Callithrix jacchus: one gene and its partner. The protein of the gene in region 1 binds, or shares a complex with, the protein of each later gene. Links are inferred from orthologs where the notes say so. Each region holds a gene or a part of one and is shown in the gene's direction. Other genes may lie near its edges. The genes, in order: NELFCD and NELFB.

Evidence for each region.
Region 2: the proteins of NELFCD (region 1) and NELFB are in contact, whole or in part, in a crystal structure (PDB 8JJ6), measured with the Homo sapiens proteins. The link is inferred for Callithrix jacchus from reciprocal best matches to the Homo sapiens genes NELFCD and NELFB. Residues at the interface, in XP_047296144.1 of Homo sapiens: Arg63, Ile66, Met67, Glu68, Pro69, Ile71, Phe72, Leu75, Ile89, Gln90, Leu92, Ser93, Tyr96, Thr97, Ala98, Val99, Ala100, Gln101, Thr102, Val103, Asn104, Leu105, Leu106, Trp109, Leu110, Gln112, Thr113, Gly114, Val115, Gln121; in NP_056271.3 of Homo sapiens: Met49, Leu53, Leu56, Val58, Ala59, Asn60, Gly61, Leu64, Lys65, Leu68, Thr69, Leu75, Ile78, Glu79, Phe81, Gln82, Glu84, Asn85, Gly86, Val87, Leu88, Leu89, Ser91, Leu92, Ser94, Ala95, Leu96, Pro97, Phe98, Leu99.

The regions. Positions count from the first base shown.
Region 1 is NC_133506.1:54,548,329-54,554,256, forward strand, and holds the start of NELFCD (negative elongation factor C/D), read left to right. Parts: upstream 1-2,363; 5' UTR 2,364-2,373; coding exon 2,374-2,460; intron 2,461-5,928. UniProt on the Homo sapiens protein: Essential component of the NELF complex, a complex that negatively regulates the elongation of transcription by RNA polymerase II.
Region 2 is NC_133502.1:185,660,603-185,666,530, forward strand, and holds the start of NELFB (negative elongation factor B), read left to right. Parts: upstream 1-2,397; 5' UTR 2,398-2,496; coding exon 2,497-3,348; intron 3,349-3,635; coding exon 3,636-3,799; intron 3,800-4,080; coding exon 4,081-4,180; intron 4,181-4,535; coding exon 4,536-4,766; intron 4,767-5,928. UniProt on the Homo sapiens protein: Essential component of the NELF complex, a complex that negatively regulates the elongation of transcription by RNA polymerase II.

The DNA.
Region 1 (5,928 bases):
CTTCTCAGCCTCCTGTTCATACCTCTTAATTTACTATCTCATCTTCTCATTCCCTTCTGTAGGGCCTCCTCAGCTAGGGGATATGACTTTGAAAACTCAGATATGTCCTTTCACACGCTCAGAGCAAGGAAACAACAACAACAAAAAAAATCCAAACGTTTCCTCCTCCTCATAATTATGCATATTCGCTGAGCACCTACGATGTGCAAGCTCTCTGCTCAGCGCTTGGCATACCTTATTACATTCAATCCTTAAAGATGACCCTCAGTTAACACAGACCTAACTCCCTCCTGAGATCTGGCCCTGCCTGCCCTGCCTGCCCTGCCTGCCCTGCCTCATCTACATTTCTCCTTAGCCTGCCCAGTCCCAGTCTCAGTGGCCTCTCTGTTCCAAGAACACATGGCTGGCCTTTGCCCTGGCAGTTCTGCTCTCTGGAAATGCTCTTGCCTGGGTCTTAGCTTGCTTGGCCCTTTCATCACATGACTCTCAGTTCAAATGTAAGTTTCTCAGCGGCCATCTCTGATCTCCCCAAGAAGGTCTCTCCTATTATCACAGAATACTAGCACCGATCATCTCTGTCCTTATTTTATTTGTTTCCCCCTGGCCCCCCTTTCAGCTCCTTCAGTAGAAGGCAGGCTCTACCAGGGCAAGGATCATGTCCAATTTGTTCACCACTGAGCTCCAGGGAGCAGCACAGAGTCGAGCACTTAGGGGACACTCAATAAACATTTGTTGAATAAACATATTCCCTGATAAGCCCTCCATAAATGTTCACTATTATCAATATTCTGGAGCTCTTTAATACCCTTTCCTTACTGACATGGGCATTACCCTTCTTTTTTTTTTTGTTTATAGACAGGGTCTTACTTTGTCACACAGTCTGAAATGGCATGACCATTGCTTACTGCAACCTCAAGCTCTTGGGCTGAAACAATCCTCCTGCCTCAGCCTCCTGAGCTGCTAGGACTGCAGGCATGCATCACCATACCTGGCCGAGGGGATGGGGATGTCTCTGTATGTTGCCCAGGTTGGTCTCAAGCTCTTGCCTCAGGCAATCCTCCCACCTCAGCCTCCCAGAATGCTGGGATTATAGGTGTGAGCCACGGCGGTCAGCCATGGAAATTTCCTTTTAAAGTATCCAGATCTGATGGCGTTAAAATTTCACCCTGCTTAAAATTTTCCACGATTTGGACACAAAGATGGGAACAACAGACCCAGGGGATTCCAAAAGGCAGAAGGTGTGGGAGATGGGGTGGGGTGGGGGGGGGGTGAGGGGGTGCGGGTAAAGGTTGAAAAGCTGCCTATCTGGTACCATGTTCACTACTTTGGTGAAGGGATTATTAGAAGCATCACACAATATACCAATGTAACAAACCTGCACATGTACCAAATTTAAAATTAAAAAAGCACACACACACTCAACAGCCAACAAAAGCCTTTCCGTGATTATCAAGAGGCTGTCATGTTCTTACTCCCTACTTCACATTAGAAGTGTGCTGCGGGCTTCACAACAGCATCACCTGCGCCCTTTGGCAGCTACCAGGGAGGTCCTTTCTCCAGAGATTTTTGTGGGCTCTGGACACTTTTGCTTTGCGGGCCTTTCCTCCATTTAAAAAAAAAAAATTAAAAACGTTACTTTCCACTGCATTTAGTACTTTTTCTTTTCTTTTCTCTCTTTTTTTTTGAGACACAGTTTCACTCTGTTGCCCAGGCTGGAGTACAGTGGTGTGATCTTGGTTCACTGCAACCTCCGCCTCTAGGGTTCAAGCGATTCTCCTGCCTCAGTCTCCCTAGTAGTTGGGATTACAGACGCCCGTCACCACGCCTGGCTAATTTTTGTATTTTGAGTAGAGATGGGGTTTCAGCATGTTGGCCAGGCTGGTCTCGAACTCCTGATCTCAAGTGATCCGCCCTCCGAGGCCTCCCAAAGGGCTGGGATTACAGGCGTGAGCCCCCACGCCCTGCCGCGTTTAGTACTTTTTACCAAAAATAAAAGAAATTAAAACACTTTCGTGGGTTCTAGACACTCCCCAAAGAATTTGTTCCCAGCTGTCCGATGAAGAAACTGGCGCTCGCAGGGCTGGTGCAACAGGAGTGAGACCGTGCACGAGTCCAGTTGGAAACCTCTCTGCATAAGCCCCTGGCCCACCCTAGCAGCGCTCAGAAACCGATTGGGGGGCGTTCCTTTCGCCCGGTCCTCTTTGTTCCTAGCGGGAAGCCCGCGGCTCTGCTCCCCCTCCAGGCCCCACCCCTTCCTCCAAGCCCCGCCTCCCGCCCGGGCCGAGCGCGCGGGGGGCGGGGCCGCGGGGCCGCGCGTGCGTCCGCTCGCCCGTTTTCGCCTCGCGCATGCGCCACGCTAGCTCGCGGTAGAGCATGGCGGTGTCCGCGCCGGGAGCCATCATGGATGAGGACTACTTCGGGAGCGCGGCCGAGTCGGGCGACGAGGCTGACGGCGGCCAGGTAAGGCGGGGCATCGGGCGCTCCCCGGCGAGGATCGTTCGTCTCCGCCGCCGGCGGGCCGGCTCCGCTCCCGGCAAGCCCGCGCGGCGCGAGGCCGCGGGCGTGCGGGGTGTGTGCGCGCGCACGGCCTGCGCGGTCTCCGTGTGGTTCTACACAGCCCGCCCCGCCCCCCCAGCCCGGGGTCCCTGCGTCTTCGCCTGCAGGACCGTGGGGCGGGGACGAGGCGGCGGTGGCTCTGGAGCGGGACAGCCCGAAGCCCCCAGTGACCCCTCGTTCCGGCCAGCCTCGGCGCCGGCCCTGCGACCCCCACGGCGGGTGGGACACCAATACTAAGGTGGAGGGTTGGGCTCGAAGCCCAGACAGTTTTAAACAAAAATAAAATGGAAAACTTCACACCAGCATCGTGGGGAAAAAGTAAAACTTTGGGCATTCCTACTGTGTTTCACTGTTTTATAAACTGTACTCTTCAGCACCCCTGGCCGATTTCATCTGTCTTTGGACAAAATAATGAAAAGGATCTTCTGGCCTTGACCTTCCAGGGTTTGGAGTGGAAGCCCAGGAGGGGTCACTCTATTCTCCCCTGAGGACAGGGCCTGCAGAGCCAGGGAAGGCAGTTCTAGTCAGGCTGGTTTGTCACCACCTTTTTCTAACCTTTTTTTTTTTTGTTAATGAGAGCTTCTTATGTTGCTCAGGTTGGCCTTGAACTCAGCCTCGCTTCCTCAAGCGCCAGGACAACTGGCCGGAGCCTTTTTCTAATCTTAAAACCCACCTGCTGCGCATGATTGAAATGTGCAGCTTCTCAGGTCCCTACAGTTGATCTGCACGAGAGCCTAGGAACTTGCATTTTTTTTTGAGGCAGAGTTTCACTCTTGTTGCCCAGGCTGGAGTGTAATGGTGCAATTTCGGCTCACTGCAACTTTTGCCTCCCTGGTTCCAGTGATTCTCCTCCCTCAGCCTCCCGAGTAGCTGGGATTACAGGCGCCTGCTACCACACTCATTTTTTAAAATTTTGAGTGGAGAGGGGGTTTCACCATGTTGGCCAGGCTGGCCTCAAGCTCTGGATCTCAGGTGATCCATCCACCTCGGCCTTCCAAAGTTCTGGGATTATAGGTGTGACCCATGCGCCTGGCCCAGGAACTTGCATTTTTAACAAGAATCAACAATGGGGATATTTGGTCCATTTTGAACTGGTATTTTGAGGGAATGAAGGATGCAGTGGGCTTACTTCAATGAACATGGATGGTGGTGTGATGACGGCTTCGGAGCTGTGGTAGCAAATAACAGGACAGGCGATGTGTTTCTGGAACTGAAAGAAGGCCTGTGAGGTTAGCTGCCTGGTGGAAGCAGTGGCAGGAGGTCAGTAGGGAGCAGGTCTGAAGATCCTTGGAGAGCCGCTGAATGGCTTGTTCAGGAGTTTGGGGCAGGAGGTGATATGAGTAGATTTGCATGTTGGATCATTTCACAGCGTTGGAGGCTTAGGGTAGAGTGGATAGAGAGTCAGATGTGGCTGAGAGCCTGGGCCATGTGCTTCATGCATTATCACCTTCCACACTCAAGATTTTGAGTTGGGTGTTACTCTATCTGGTAAGTGAAGAAAGTGAGGTGGAAAGACTTAATGACCTTCCCAAAGTCATGAAACTAATAAAGGAAGGAGAGGGGACCCAAACCCATGTCATTTGCCTCTATTGCAGCTTCATCAAATTGCTGACCACCAAAGTGGTCCAGATGAGAGGGTATGAATTATCTTAGTGGTGGGTTGGTGTTTGGGGCATCTCGTATATCACCTTGAGACTTTTTTCTTTCTTTCTTTTTTTTTTGGGGGTGGGGGGGAGTCTCACTGGGCTGCCCAGACTGGAGTGCAGTGGTACGATCACGGCTCATGTAACCACTGTCTACCAGGTTCAAGTGATTCTGTGGTCTCAGCCTCCCTAGAAGCTGGGAGTACAGGCACCTGCCATCATGCCCAACTAATTTCTGTATTTTAGTAGGGATGGGGTTTCACTTTCACCATGTTGGCCAGGCTGATCTTGATCTCCTGACCTCAGGTGATCTGCCTGCCTCGGCCTCCTAAAGTGCTAGGATTACAGGCGTGAGCCACCACGCCGAGACTTTTTCTCTCTCTCTCTTTTTTTTTTCAGACAGAGTCTCACTCTGTTGCCCAGGCTGGATTGCAGTGGTGTCATCTTGGCTTACTGAAACCTCTGCCTCCCGGGTTCAAGTGATTTTCCAAGTAGCTGGGATTACAGGCTAATTTTTGTATTTTTAGTAGAGATGGGCTTTCATCATGTTGGCCAGGCTGGTCTCAAACTCCTGGCCTCAAGTAGTTTGCCCGCCTCAGCCTCCGGAAGTGCTGGGATTATAGGCTTGAGCCACCACCCCTGGCCTCACCTTGAGCCGCTGAGTCAAAAAGTGTTAGAACTGGGGAATGTAAGGGCCATCTAATCTGCCTTCACTTCCAACTCTAGACCCTGCTGTTGGAAGATTGGGGAATTTTTTTTTGAGACGGAGTCTTGCTCTTGCCCAGGCTAGAGTACAATGGTGTACTCTTGGCTCACTGCAACTCTTATCTCTCAGGTTCCAGCGATTCTCCTGCCTCAGCCTCCCTAGTAGCTGGGACTATAGGCTCGCTAATTGCCTGGCTAATTGTTGTAGTTTTTAGTAGAGATGGGGTTTCACCATATTGGCCAGACTGGTCTTGAACTTCTGACCTCATGATCCGCCTGCCTCAGCCTCCCAAAGTGCTGGGATTACAGATATGAGCCACCATGCCCGGCCTCATGTTTGGGGAATTTTGATCATGATCCTAATGTATCCCATTGACACCAGTGGGCTCTCATTGATGAGGAGGGTGGACCAGATGTTCATTTCATTTTTATTCTGTGATCCCACTTGGACGAGGGACAGAAAGTTAGGAAAAGTGTTAGGAGGGTGGCAAGAACTGGATTTTAAAAGACAGTTGGTGACTCACATTCCGTTCACTTGATGCCATGTTCCATATATGGTGGAAGGCGGGAAGATGTGTAAGGAGGCCACTGTGATGTTCAGTCAGGATGATGGAAACTAAGAGCTACAGAAATGCAAATAGATTAGTCTGGCTGCAAATTGTAAATGGGGAGTGTCGAGGGGTCAGAACAGACAGAGGAGCAGGTGGGAGGGGCACTGTCGTGTTAGAGCTTGGGTGTTTTTCCTGAAGGAGATGGGAATTTTTAAGGAGGAGAGTGATGTCAATTTTGTGGCTTACAGAGATCACTGTGGCTTCAGTGTGAAAGATGACTGAAAGGAAGGAATGAGACTGAGACTTTAGGGGAATGTTGCCACTGCAAGCATGCAAAAAGTAAGGAAGAGGAGAGGCGAATGTGGAAAGAACCGCCACCTTGGGTAGACAGTTAGGAGATGGAATTGACAGGTCTTTGTGACAGGATGTGGGGGTGGGGCGAGGGAGAGAAGCTGAGGATGATTTTCAGGCTT
Region 2 (5,928 bases), on another chromosome or scaffold:
GCTGGCCTGGGATGAGACACAGCCCCCAAAAATGAAGGAGTGCCCAGCTGGCCTCGGGTTACAGATGGGAGCCCCCGAGAAGTCCCTGCCCATCCGCACCCAGACCCTGAGGGAGCTGCGTGAGTGAGGGTCCTGGCTGCCCCACCCCCACCCCAGGCTGGCCTTTGGGGGGCTGTGGGAGGGGCCTGCTGGAACCATCCCAGGCCCAGAGCTTGCTTCCCGCGGCCAGTGCTGGAGCAACGTCCCCCGATCACAGCTGACCTGGACGTCCCCAGCCCCGCCAAGTACCAGCTGCCAAGCCCGTCTGTGCGAGAGTCCTCCCCACACCCCCACTACAGCATTGGCCGCAAACACCAGGGCCAAGGTGTGTGTTCCCTCCCTGGGGCCCGACCACCAGGCCTGTCCCCACCCTGGGAATGGGGGCCTCAGCCTCTGCACTGGTACCCCCACAGCCTGAGGCCTTTCCACCCCACTATAGAGGGCGGTGGGTGCAGGGTATGGCAGACAGTGTGGTTCCAGAGTGAAAGCCCCTTCACACAGAAGGCCAACTTCAACCAAAAGCAAAAGGTGGGGGCTGGGCAGGAAGGGGGCAGGGAGTCCAGGCAGGCGGGGGCTGGGGCTTCCATCGGGACCAAAGCAGGGCTGACTGAGGGTCCTGGGAGCTCCCTGCCCTGCAGCAACGGTCTCCTGCTGCTTCGCAGTGGCCCTCACCAGCCAACTACCAGCCGCTCGGCCCGCCTTCAGCTTCAGGGGCCACCACCCTGCCACCAAGACACCTGAGGGCCACACCCACCCCAGGCTGCCTCGGGCCAGGGGGTTTGGTCTCCAGGAGCAGCCCCAGTGCCTGCTCCAGGCCTCTTTGCAGGCACCTGGCAAGAGGCACCCTGGCCCCAACACCTACAACATTCTTCCTGGGAGCTGCCTGCAGAGCCCACGCCCGCCAGCCTTCTCCATGGGCCACTCCCCGGTGTTCCCCACCTGGCTCAGTGGCTGTAAGGCCTGGAGAGGGGAGGGCAAGGGCTGGGCCATGGGTGAGTGTGGTGGGGCCGGGAGCCAGGTGTGAGTGGGGGCTCTGAGCCAGCTGGGTGGGGCTCGCTCTCTCTCTCTCTCTCTCCAGCCCAAACCCCCGGCCTGGCTGCCTACCACGTGGAGGACTGCTACAACTCTCGCTTCCCCTCGGCACCTGGCGTGTGCAGACCCAAGAGACACGACGCTGGCCCCTTCTGCACACTCTAGAGCCCACTGGGCAAAGCCAGCTTGGCCCGGCCAACGAGTGGAACCTTGGCCTCTCCTGGGGTTTTCCCAGGCCTCCCTTGGGACTCGGCGCCCCAGCCTGGCCCCTGACCCTCTGGGCACCCCTGGTGCACCCTCCTGGCTGGACAACCCTTCTATGGACTGTGGACAAAGCCAGTCCAGCCTGGAGCCCCCATCTGCCCACACCCTGCTATACAGAGATGCTGTGGGTTCTCCCATGCTCCGAAGTGTGCAGCTGTCTGTCCTTCACCCGGGGCGGTCCTGGAGATATGGCTGCCACTGGGTCATTTCTGGCTTTCCCTGTTGAGGAGTCTCCATTTGGCTGCCCTGAAGGGTGTTCTTTTCTCTATATGGCAGCGTGCCACTGACTGAGCTCTAGCCTGGAGTGAGATGGGAGGCTCTGTGGGACACCCCTACCCAGCCGTGCCATTCAGGGGCCCAGTCCAGCTGCTGTCCACCTGAGGGTCAGCCGCTTGCTGAGCCAGGGAACTGACTTGGTTTTTAAGGAAGCAACAAATGCCCTGAGCCACCAGTAGACGGGGTCGCCTGACCAGCCCTCAGGAGGGGCCCAGGGACCTGCTCACTAGGGCCCAGCGCCACTTCATCTAGGCCTTCAGCTGGGGTGAGTCACCTGTGGAAACTGGCCCAGGACCCTGTAGGCTGAGCCACAGCCCCAGACTCTGGGCCCCTGCTGAGGGCTGGTCCTGTAGCTTTGCCGGGCTTGCCCTCGTACCTTGCAGGAGGCTTACCTGCAGCTCGTGTCGCCCCTGTGACTGTGACTGCACCTGTACCTCCCGGACCCCGGGCCCAGACCAAGTCCAGAGCTCAACCCCTTCAAAAAGGCTCTGGGCAGCTGCTCCTGTGGCGTCAGCTCCATCCCCTTTCGCACAGAGGACTCCAAGCCTAGGACTGTGTATGTGCTGTGCCCCTTGTCCCCCTCTGCCACCAAACCAGCTAGGGGTCTATTCCAGTGGCAATAGAGCTGTGGTTGCCTGGCCGTAGCAACAGGAGCTCTGCTTACGGCTGGGGCGACCCGGGCACCACCTGGCACCTCTGAGACCCAAAGCTGGAAGCGGGAGCAGCAGGAAGGATGGAGCGATCTCCTCCAGCTGGGCGAAGGAGGGAGGGCTTCCTGGAGGAGGTGGTGGAAGAGGGAGCCTTCAAGGAAGAGCAAGAGTTTGCTGGGCAGCATGAAAGAAATTTGTAGAGAAAAATTTCAGCAGCACAGATAGAAAAGAGAGAATGTGTCGGGCTTGGCGCGGCAGAGCGTGCGGGAGGGCGACGGGGAGGCCCGGGGAGCCCGCCTGGGACGAGAAGAGGCGCTGCGGGACCTGGACTCTCCCTCACGGCTCCGCGGGGCTGGCGGGTGCCAGCGCCTCCGTGGCCGGGGAGGGCGGCCGTCGTTCGCGCGCCTGGTCTCCGCCAGGCCCCCGCCTGAAGGCGCTGAGACCCAGCCTTCGCCGCAGCGCTGGGGTGGGGGCTTCGTGCCGGTTTTACGCCGAGGAGGCCGCACCCGAGTCACACACCAGCGCGGCGCAGAGGCTGGGGGCGCAACCCCGGGCAACATGTCCCGCGTCGCGAGGCTGCTGCGAGATCCGCAAGACCGTTTTACACGCTTATGCGCACGAAATCCACTCGGCTGAAATGGCGCCCCTTTCCCACCCACCCACGCTCGCCCGCGGGACCGGAGGGCGCACGCGCGCGGGGCTGGCTAGGTGGAGCCTGTTGCGCGAGGGGCGGGCGCTGCTCCCAGGAACCTGCGCGCGGCAGCGGCGGTGTTTCCCGGGGGCCGGTTGGCTGGCGGACCCGGGCGGTGCGGTGTGCGCGGAGCCGCGAAGCGGGCGGGACTTGGCCGAGCTGGAGGGCGCGGGGGAGCGGGGCTCGGGGGGCCCCCGAGGCCCGGCGGAGCGGGCTTCTGGGGCGCCTGCGGCGGCGCCGGGGGAGCGGGCTGGGGATGGGGCGCCGAGCCGGGCGGCGGCCGGGGCCTCGGCCATGTTCGCGGGGCTGCAGGACCTGGGCGTGGCCAACGGCGAGGACCTGAAGGAGACCCTGACCAACTGCACGGAGCCGCTCAAGGCCATCGAGCAGTTCCAGGTGGGGCGGGCCTCGAGGCGGGGGCAGCCCGGGTCGACCGCCAGGCCGCCTGCGCGGGAGTCGAGCCTGGCGGAGGCGCCGGAAGTTCCCGGCTTTCTTCGAGTGGCTGAGTCCCGTTCTGGGGGTGGAGTCCCGAGCTGGCGTCGGTTTGCTGGACGGCTGGGTGGCTTCTGGTGGCTGCCGCTGCCCCTGCACGGCCGGGAACCCTGGGGTTCGTGCCTCCCTGTGCTTGCAGGACATCGGGTGCCCGGGCGCAGTGGGCGGCAGCTGACCTTTTGCTTCCTCAGACAGAGAACGGCGTGCTGCTGCCCTCTCTCCAGTCGGCCCTCCCCTTCTTGGACCTACACGGGACGCCGCGGCTGGAGTTCCACCAGTCGGTGTTCGATGAGCTGCGAGACAAGCTGCTGGAGCGGGTGTCGGCCATCGCTTCGGAGGGGAAGGCTGAGGAAAGGTGGGTGGGCGGGTCCGATATGTGCCCGGCGGGCATTGATCGTCCTCCTGGCTGCACAGCCTTGTCGGCCTCTCAGCCTAAGATCGACTTGGACATTGATCATCCTCCTGGCTGCACAGCCTTGCTCCCAGAGGTGGCCTGGGCCTGTGTCTGAACGGCCTCTTGCCTCTCGTGTTCTGCGTGTGGAGACTTGGCCTGGCAGCCGTTATCTGACTGGGACATGCAGACAGCTGCTCTGATTCGGCCCATTGCCACGCCATCAATCGTGTGAGTTGTTCCAGGTACAAGAAGCTGGAAGACCTTCTGGAGAAGAGCTTTTCTCTGGTCAAGATGCCGTCCCTGCAGCCTGTGGTGATGTGTGTCATGAAGCACCTGCCCAAGGTAGAACCCTAACCCTGACCCTGACCCTAAAACCTTGCTGGCTCGGGCGTCCACCCACCCTCATGCTCTTGGTTGATGGAAGTTCCAGTGAGCCGCCTGCCTGAGTGCTGTCCGTGGTGGCTCCTGTGCTGGCCTCTCCCGCGTGAGCCGCGTGGAGACTGAAGCTTGGCACTGGAGTTGGGGCGTGGGGCCCCTTCTGGGAAAGACCTGTTGGTATTTAGCACGTCTGCCTGAACCTGCTGGGACTGGGGGCCCAGTCATAGGTGCCCTGTAGAGTGGGGCGTGGCTTGAAGTGGACTCGAGGGAGACCCAGGGACATAGGTGCCGCTCACAGGCAGCCTGTGGTGCCGCGTAGGTTCCTGAGAAAAAGCTGAAGCTCGTAATGGCTGACAAGGAGCTGTATCGAGCCTGCGCCGTGGAGGTGAAGAGGCAGATCTGGCAAGACAATCAGGCCCTCTTTGGGGACGAGGTCTCCCCGCTGCTGAAGCAGTACATCTTGGAGAAGGAGAGCGCGCTCTTCAGCACAGAGCTCTCCGTCCTGCACAACTTCTTCAGTCCTTCCCCCAAGACCAGGCGCCAGGGTGAGGTGAGAGGGGAGAGGCCGCGTGCAGGGTGGGGCACCTCTTGGGCGTGCCATGGCCAGGCCCTTCAGCTACCTGGGGATCGACTGTTTGCTGCCTTGTGAATGGCAGGGTGGTTCTACTCTTGCGGGTGGCAGGCCTGGGACTTGTGCTAGAAGGAAGGTTGGTTTTCTCTTTGTATGTATTTTACTTTCGATTAAAACCATATGTGCACAACATTAAAATCTGCGGAAAGGCCCCTAACGAGAAGTTACAGCTCCCTCTCCTACTTCTAAAAAGCTGCTTCTGTTTGGTTCTTCACCTTTCAAATATTTCAGTTATTTGCTTTTCGTTCTTCAGAGGACAGCAAATCCAAGGTTCTGCCTGTTAATAATGTTGGCATTATTCTAAACTCAAATTTTCCCTCAGTTTTGTTTTGTTTCTTGAGATGGAGTTTCGCTCTTGTCACCCAGGCTGAAGTGCAGTGGTGCGATCTTGGCTCACTGCAGCCTCTGCCTCCCAGGTTCAAGGTATTATTCTGCCTCAGCCACCCCAGTAGCTGGGATTATAGGTGTGTGCCATCATGCCAGCCAATTTTTATGTCTTTAGTGTTACATTGGTCAGGCTGGGCTCAAACTCCTGAGCTCAAATGATCTATCTGCCTGCCTCATCCCCCCAAAGTGCGGGGATTACAGGCATAAGCCACTGTGCAGGACTTTTTTTTTTTTTTCTATTTTTGTTAAGAGACAGGGTCTCACTCTGTTGCCCAGGCTGGAGTCCAGTGGCGTCATCACAGCCCACTGCAGGCTTGACCTCCTGAGCTAAAGCCAGCTTCCCCCCTCAGGCTTCTGAGTAGCTAGGACCACAGGCATGCGCTGCCATATTTGGACTAATGAAATATTTATTTTTGTAGAGTTGGGGGTCTGACTGTGTTGCATAGTCTGGTCTTGAACTCCTGGGCTGAAGCAGTCCTCTGTCAGTATCCTAAAGTGTGGGGATTACAGACATGAGGCACCACGCCCAGCCGAGATTTCTTTTTCTTTTTTTTTTTTTTTTTTTTTTGAGATGGAGTTTAGCTCTTGTTACCCAGGCTGGAGTGCAATGGCACGATCTCGGCTCACCACAACCTCCACCTCCTGGGTTCAAGCAATTCTCCTGCCTCAGCCTCCCGAGTAGTTGGGACTACGG